2 linked regions of the Bombyx mori genome follow. The protein of the gene in region 1 interacts with the protein of each later gene in a pairwise test. Links are inferred from orthologs where the notes say so. Each region holds a gene or a part of one and is shown in the gene's direction. Other genes may lie near its edges.

Region 1 (3,656 bases):
AAAAACGTGTCTTAATAAAGTCCTAATAAAAACAATTAACAATGAATTCTATGGAATTGAAGATGTAGCAGCATTTTCTTCGGATTTCACGGGTCGGAGACATAACCAAAATTAACTTGAACGGCTTAATCCCGCGTTTTTTAATGTCATTTTATGATTACTGACACGTGACGGGAGCCAAATGCTGACGCCTGACACCTTAGATGTTCGGAACTACGAACACTGTAATGTAATCATACATCCTACATATAATAATTAAATTTAAAAAAAACGCGGGATTAAACTATAAATTTAATTTTAATTAAATTGAAGATACACTTCGAGTAAAATAATCAATAGATAAAAATAGAAAAGTAATTTGTCGATACAATTACTTCTCCTGTACACATTACCGTTTTTTTTTGTTTTTTTTTTGTTGTATTCCAGAAATTTCCGTAGTACGTAGAGCTTATGTCACGTTTACCCCCGTTTCATGTAATTGTAGATAAATATGAAAGGTTTGTAATATAAAATTTATTACTCATATTATTTAGCACTGTTATCTAGGAGCATAGCATGTTTTGGTTTTATAGAAATACGAAAGTTTAGTTCAGAAATAATTTCTGTTTAGACTTTTATAAATAGGCATTACGTTTTTTTTCACGTTTTCTCGCTATGTTTAAAACAGTACAGTCACCGATCGAGTACATTATTAATACATAAATTGCGTAGTCTATATTATACTGTTATTACTACATTAGTAGGTACCACGATCTTCTTCACAATACATTGACTATAGTATATGACCACAGTGCATGAAATAAAATAATAAAACTAAAAAAATTCCACGTTAAAAATAAAGCAAGTAATCATGTTTGAATTTACATAAAATTTAAGTTTTATCACCCGCAATTTAGCACGAAATTCGTTAGAGATATAGAAATCGAGAAAGGAATAATGTTTTGGATGACTCGACAGGCCTACTAGCAGAAGCAGTGGGGGTAATCAGAACAGCAATGGAGTTAGTCTGCCTGCTGGATTGGCAGACGACCAGTCGAAAGACTTCGACTTTGAAAAGACTGAAATGAAATACGACTCAACAGGCATGTTCCATTGGAGCCCTGCCAGGAATCTTGAAGATTGTATATTAGTAAGTAGAGCTTTGAGTTTTACCTAATTATCACTCTAACAAATTAATTTAAAAGCATTACGTACTAATTGAATGTTCATATATAATTTAATCCCTATGGAGAATTTGACCGCTCAGCATTAAACCCGGGCCCAGATAGACCAGTGAAATTCACCAAACCTTATGCTTATCGAAAAAATGTTCAATATTAAATTACCGATACCGTAAATTAAATAAAGAAAATCTCAACAGGACAGAAACCAAGCGGCTATGACGGTTCTAAATGGTCACGTTGTCGTGTGTCTATTCGCGGATCCAGACTCGCCACTGATCGGCTTGAGGAATCTCGTGATGCCGCTAAGAGCCTCCAATTTCCACTACCACGAGTTGAAACACGTGGTTATCGTAGGAAGCGTCGACTACATACGAAGAGAATGGAAAATGTTGCAGAATCTTCCGAAGATATCTGTATTGAATGTGAGTATCCTTAACGAGCATTAGTTTTTGTGAGGTTATGATCCTGTTTAAATCTGTCTCAATCTACGCGATCATAATGTAATTACTTCTAAACGGTTTACTTATAACATAGATTCGCTCTGGGTTTCTAGCCATACCTCATATTTCATTTGCTTGAGTGGCGAATTGCAAAGAAGACTAATATTGTCATGCGATATTTGACGACCAAACAACCAGGAAAAGAAAACCACCAAAATAATATATAAAGATATTGATAGCACTTAATTCCCGGTCAATGCCAAGTTGATTATCTTCAAGTCTACGAATCAGCATGCTAAATTGAACAGCTGAAGTTGACAGTCAACAATGATCGTTCGGTATATTTGTTTAGGGTTCACCGCTAAGCCGGGCCGACTTGCGTGCAGTAAACGTGAACCTATGCGACATGTGCTGTATCCTGTCAGCGAAGGTGCCATCGAACGATGACCCTACACTGGCGGACAAGGAAGCTATCTTGGCTTCGTTGAACATCAAGGCGATGACGTTCGACGACACGATAGGAGTGCTCAGCGCCGGCGCGGGGGCCAACGGCAGCAACGCGCAGCCGCTGCCGGGCCAGCCCCCCGCGCCCGTGCTGCTACAGAGGAGGGGATCCGTATACGGTGCTAATGTACCTATGATTACAGGTACACTGACCGCAGTATGTGAGGACATAATTCTAGAATATTAATATAATATAGTGTCATTTTTGAAAAATTTTAGAAGCGTTTTTTTTTGTGGGAGGAATATCGCTGGATTTTCGCCTAAGTGATGTAGACTGATAGCCTAATGTGCCACTCGTCGTGTGATTTTGAAAGATTAATTATGTTAATGTTAATTAAGTAGTTTTAATGAGGTGAAAGAACATACGATACGATAAGATGCAACTATACCAAAGTTCAAATCCTGCGAGCGGGTACCAATTTTTCCCCAGTCTACCCACGTATCTACTACTATTCTGCCTATTTATGACGCGGAGCGGTCGAGTATACAAGTGAGTCTCCGACCTCGTCTAGTGCCATTTGAAAATAATGATATTCTTTCTGCTCATCAGAGCTGGTGAACGATAGCAACGTGCAGTTCTTAGACCAGGACGACGACGACGACCCCGACACGGAGCTGTACTTGACGCAACCGTTTGCCTGCGGCACTGCGTTTGCCGTCAGCGTACTCGACTCTCTCATGTCCACTGTAAGACTTGGCTAAATCAGCATTTTAATCTTCCATCGAAATATATCAAAATTTGTAGGATATTCCGCGGCTAATTCAATGTGACCAAAACGTGAATATTGTTAATCGAGTCACTGAACGTTTTTGCAGCATTAATTTATTGACAGATGTCACAATAATCAAATGTCAAAGAACAACATCTCAGTCCGTAACCCATAGATAATAAATCACATGATATGTAAGGCGTAAACGGAACGGAACGTAACGGCGTACGGAAACCGCAAAGTATTCGATAACAATGACAAAAATAAACGCGAGATTAAATCGCAAAAATCGTTTTATTTATGTCTACGACTCCCGAAATCGGAAATGATAATTAAATTAACATTACCATTAATGTTATGCAAATCTATGAATCTTTAGTCGGGTTTCCCAAAGTTTGACCAATTTCGAACTTGCAGACGTACTTCAACCAAAACGCGTTGACACTGATCCGTTCGCTGATAACGGGCGGCGCGACCCCCGAGCTGGAGCTGATCCTCGCCGAAGGTGCCGGGCTCCGCGGCGGGTACTCCACGCCCGAGAGTCTGGCCAACAGGTCTCCGCACTACTCACTAAACAAATACCAAACTCGATGATCTCAAAACGACTTTTCAAATTCGCATCGTTAAAAACGAAAACATTGAAATCACTGGTGGTAGGACCTAGATGGTAGGACTAAGATGGGTGGACGAGCTCACAGCCCACCCGGTGTTAAGTGGTCACTGAAGCCCACAGACATCCACAACGTAAATGTGGATATCTGTGGGCCACAACGTAAAACCCACCTCGAGATATAAGTTCTAAGTTCTCAGTATAGTTACGACGGCTGCCCCACCCTTCA
Region 2 (4,419 bases), on another chromosome or scaffold:
ATTTAATTTCATCCCAGTTAATTAATGTCTCAAATTAATCATATTCATTTCATTTCACTCCATATTATCATTTTTCATAAAAATATGAATATAAATTAAAATAAGACATGACTTAAAAAAGTCTCAATTACCAGGTCATAAAATCCCTTAAAAAAAATGAATTTAGAATGGATTTAGAGATGGGATAGGCGGCTTAATAAATCGAACATTTGTAATGTATTGCTTACTGTTTAACCAGGCATAAGAAAGACTTTTTCAAATAAATAAAAAATGTGTGCCGTCACGGGACGCCTGGCAGATCTGAAACATCGACATTATTTTGTAAAAGTAATAAGCAGAAAATAACAGATTGTGATAGGAACTAAATATGCCTTAATGATAAAATAAAATATTACGAAAAAATAATTTGTTTTCAAGTACAACACAGGTTATGTGTACTGTAGTAAACAACACTGTATACACTACGGAGTATACACTATAGGTATCCGAGCTCAGTGTAGCGAGAGAGATGGCTTAACGCTGGATCGAGTGGGAGAGAATCGCACAGTCGATTGCGCATGGCGACGCGTCGTCATGGCATGCGTCGCCACGCCAGAAATCGGTTTTACGTGTGGCTATAGATGTTTCACATCAAAAGTAAACGTATTAAATACACTCTTTTGATTATTATCACCACTAAAACATGAATAACGGTGCATTATCCTAAAAAGTCTACTAAAGTTTAGTGTGTTTGTTGTTTTGCGTACTTATTCGCTAGTAACTTATGGGGCTAGTCTCACGTGCCGAGTTCAACCTTAGTAAAATTTTGATCATTTCATAGCGTTTTTGCCCAAAAGACGTGGCTTTACTCATATAAAAAGGATTATTTGACTATATGGGTTACAAATAAATTTATCTATACTTTATTTTTACTGAGTACTTTATTTTTAAGAGTAGAATACATGTACATTCGTCATCCACATCACATCTGACTATAGTTTTTTTAGGATTGTAGGATTACTGGTGGCTCAGAGGCCTTCCCAATTTCACCAGGATAGGTGGGCGAGCAAGGGCTCAGCCAGAGGGGTGGGATTTGTTAACAGCTGCCAAAGCACCTCCAAAGGAGAACTGGCCACAGAGCAGCTGCTTCGCGAATGAATCTACTACTGGATCGGATCGCGACACGCTGAGAAGATCCGGCGAGAAACTCATATTAAGTTGCACGTCGAACTCTTTGCCGAGTTCGACGAGTACCTAGTGTTAGAGCTGAAGGCGTCTAATGCAAAGGTTATTGGATCTGATGGATCCGTCAGGACGTGTCTAGGGCGTCGGCGGTGACTGGCTCCTGCGTGATCAGGAGTCAGGAAGTAGTCAGCGGCGGCAACGATTAGGCGATAATTATGACGCAGTCTGTTTATAGTCACGACTGGTTGCATGAGGAGTTAACGTTAAAGTTAAAAAAAAATCAATAATTTATTTCAAATTAAATGTTTTTTTAAAGTACATATATGTTGTTTAAAAAAAAATACAAAGCCGTGTAATAAGCAAAGCTTTTGTTTTTGGAAAAAATCTGTCAATTTCTGATCTCTATATTTCGGAGCAATGACCTAATGACAGCCAGTATCTAATGATTTCGGCACTTGTTAAGGTAAAGTAAAGTTTTCGATATAAGAAATTAATGATTGTTCTTAATTCGACTATATTAAATACGTCATATGCACATTTTTGTTTTTAAAAAAAAGTTTGCATCATAAGTGCTGTATTTATTAATAGTCCATTTAAATAGAGATATTCAAATATTGAGTGAGTTGTTGTTTGTGTACAAACTTTATTAAAACTGCCGAATTTTATGAAGACGAACGTAAGTAATAAAACTTGTGCTTACAAAACATTTTCTCTATATTTTTTTCCGATACATTGTGTACAATAATTAATTGCTGTAGAATTGAGCGTCAAAAACCGACCATGTTAATGTACCATGAATGGTAATAATATTTACATGTAACAAATATAAGTATGTAATAATAATATAATGATAAATGCTAAAACTTAAGTATTAAAAAATAAATAAAATCATAAATTATATTTATAAATGAATTATTATTAAATTAAGAATATATTAAAAAAATCGACTATATTACAGAATTAAGAATACATTAAAATAATCCTTATTTATAATGACATTAAGATAATAGGATTATTTTAATCTAATTTTATTACGAAATATTTAATACATCTATCTATATATCTATTTAATATACTATATTATTATGTAGTAATATGATAACACATTAATTGATTTAAAAAAAAATTGGTGATTTATGCTAAACTGCTGCCAGATTATGGAACTCTTTTCTAACCTCATTGAAACATAGTACTCAGGAGACAGTGGAGAGGAGTTAATTCTCAAACTGGACGATGAGTGGTAATACAAGCTTACTCTCAAAATGCACTGTGGCTGAACGCAATAGTTCTAAGTAGCAAGGGTAAACTTTACTCCAGTGGTAGATAGGGCAATAGTAAAACGGTGAAGATGGCATTGTTCCAAACAATATATTTTGAGTGAATTAACCTGTTTACTATATCACAAGGTATTAGTATTCTGTTCTCGTCAAATGCTTCACAAAGCTTAATGACTATGCTCACCTGTCCTTTTTCTACTGTTAACATTACAACTAGTAGTGTCCAACAATACTGAATGGATCAAGTAGATCAGGTCAGGTCATGAGGATAAAAGATCTTGAGACCTAGATCATCGTGAAGGTCTACATTCTTCACATATCACGGTACTCACTTTTAAGATTTGGAGAGTCTGTGAGGGTTGCTGCCATGTGAGCGATATCTGAGCTTATATAAATCATATAGCCATATTTTAAAAAGTAAAATTGTATGTCTGTTAACAAAAAAAACTTGCAGCATGCCATTGAAACTGCTAACTCTTGCTTTTTCTCCTAACAACACACAAACGGTTAGTTGATCTCACAGGCTCAATCTGAGAGAACTTAGCTAGAGTAGGTCTAGCAAGACCAGTGCTCTGTTAAATTTACCACAGAATTGGAACTAGAAGTTACAATTGATTAAAACACCCGCGGTTGCATAGACCGGAGACGAACAAGTAAACACAAAAATTTATATTTAAGAGTATAAATTTGTAGGAGCCTAAAAGCCGTTTCAGAATAAACATTGAAAAATACAACATGACAGATGCATTGACTATATCAACGCTTGAAAGGCAAACTTGACTAAGCGACAATAACTGCTTTGTACATAAATGATAGGCAATAACCATATTCGATGCGCAAAAAAAATATATTTCTCATCATCATCATCATCATCATCATCATCATCATCATCATCATCATCATCATCATCATCATCATCATCAACAGCCCACAGTCGTCCACTGCTGGACATAGGCCTCTCCCAATCTACACCACTGAGCCCGGTCTGCGGCTCTCCTCATCCACTTCGTGCCGGCCACCGTGCGGAGGTCCATCTAGCCAGGGGGCGTCCCACGTTACGTCTTCCGCTGCGCGGTCTCCACTCGAGAACCCGTCTGCTCCAGCGATCGTCAGTCCTACGGCATATATGGCCAGCCCACTGCCACTTCAGCTTGCTGACTCTTTGAGATATGTCGATGACTTTAGTTTTCTGTCGAATAATCTCATTCCGGATTTTATCCTTCAGAGAAACTCCGAAATATAAATATAAAAAATATTTCTAGGTCTATTAAAATCATTTCAATCCTACAGCTACTAGCTAGATTCTACTACAGCTAGATTCGTTAAAATAAATTTTGTTTTCAGGTATTTCAACTTTAAATTAGTCTACTGTAAAGTTCACGCATTCTCGCTTAGTCACGTTTGCCTTTCAAGCGTCGAATTATATTTGATTCAAGAAAAACATAATTTCACGTATGTACGTATTACGTATTAAACGTATACGGCTATTAAACATGATTTCCATTAACATTCCTATTCTGTGACAGCGTCTCGGTGGCGCCCAGTAAGGCGCCGGATTTTCGACGCACAATGAAAGAATAGTACAAACGGACGTGGGATCCTTGTGAAATAGGCCGAAAGGGATAACGAAATAGCTTATTATGTATCGAAACACGATAACAAAGGGAAATAAATTTATGCTTTTATTACGTTTGTGAAGGTTGGAACGGATTCTAGAAGTTTTTCAGATTTTCATTCGTTAATAGACTTACGTTATCTAATGCCTTATTTATGTGAACAAAGAAAAATAAACGGTAGGTTATAATAATAAGATGAAATACAAAGGCACTAATGTTTCTTTTACAAGTCTATCGTTTCCGGGAGACCGACAAGAGAAGTATCAGAACCATTAAAAGTGAAGTATACAACAAACGTTATCATGTCTACTAACTCAAACACAAACTCACAAAATAATTAAATAAAACCTGAATTAAATGAA

What was found.
Region 2: the proteins of calcium-activated potassium channel slowpoke (region 1) and tyrosine-protein kinase Src64B interact in binary tests that used the Drosophila melanogaster proteins (3 or more experiments, as listed by UniProt). The link is inferred for Bombyx mori from reciprocal best matches to the Drosophila melanogaster genes slo and Src64B.

What each region holds. Positions count from the first base shown.
Region 1 is NC_085115.1:13,419,298-13,422,953, reverse strand, and holds part of calcium-activated potassium channel slowpoke, read left to right. Parts: intron 1-957; coding exon 958-1,129; intron 1,130-1,360; coding exon 1,361-1,585; intron 1,586-1,955; coding exon 1,956-2,250; intron 2,251-2,657; coding exon 2,658-2,794; intron 2,795-3,234; coding exon 3,235-3,371; intron 3,372-3,656. UniProt on the Drosophila melanogaster protein: Potassium channel activated by both membrane depolarization or increase in cytosolic Ca(2+) that mediates export of K(+). Its activation dampens the excitatory events that elevate the cytosolic Ca(2+) concentration and/or depolarize the cell membrane.
Region 2 is NC_085117.1:16,955,907-16,960,325, reverse strand, and holds the start of tyrosine-protein kinase Src64B, read left to right. Parts: upstream 1-1,580; 5' UTR 1,581-1,840; intron 1,841-4,419. UniProt on the Drosophila melanogaster protein: Tyrosine-protein kinase that may play a role in the development of neural tissue and smooth muscle. May contribute to tyrosine phosphorylation of Dscam1, a cell surface receptor involved in targeting of growing axons during eye morphogenesis.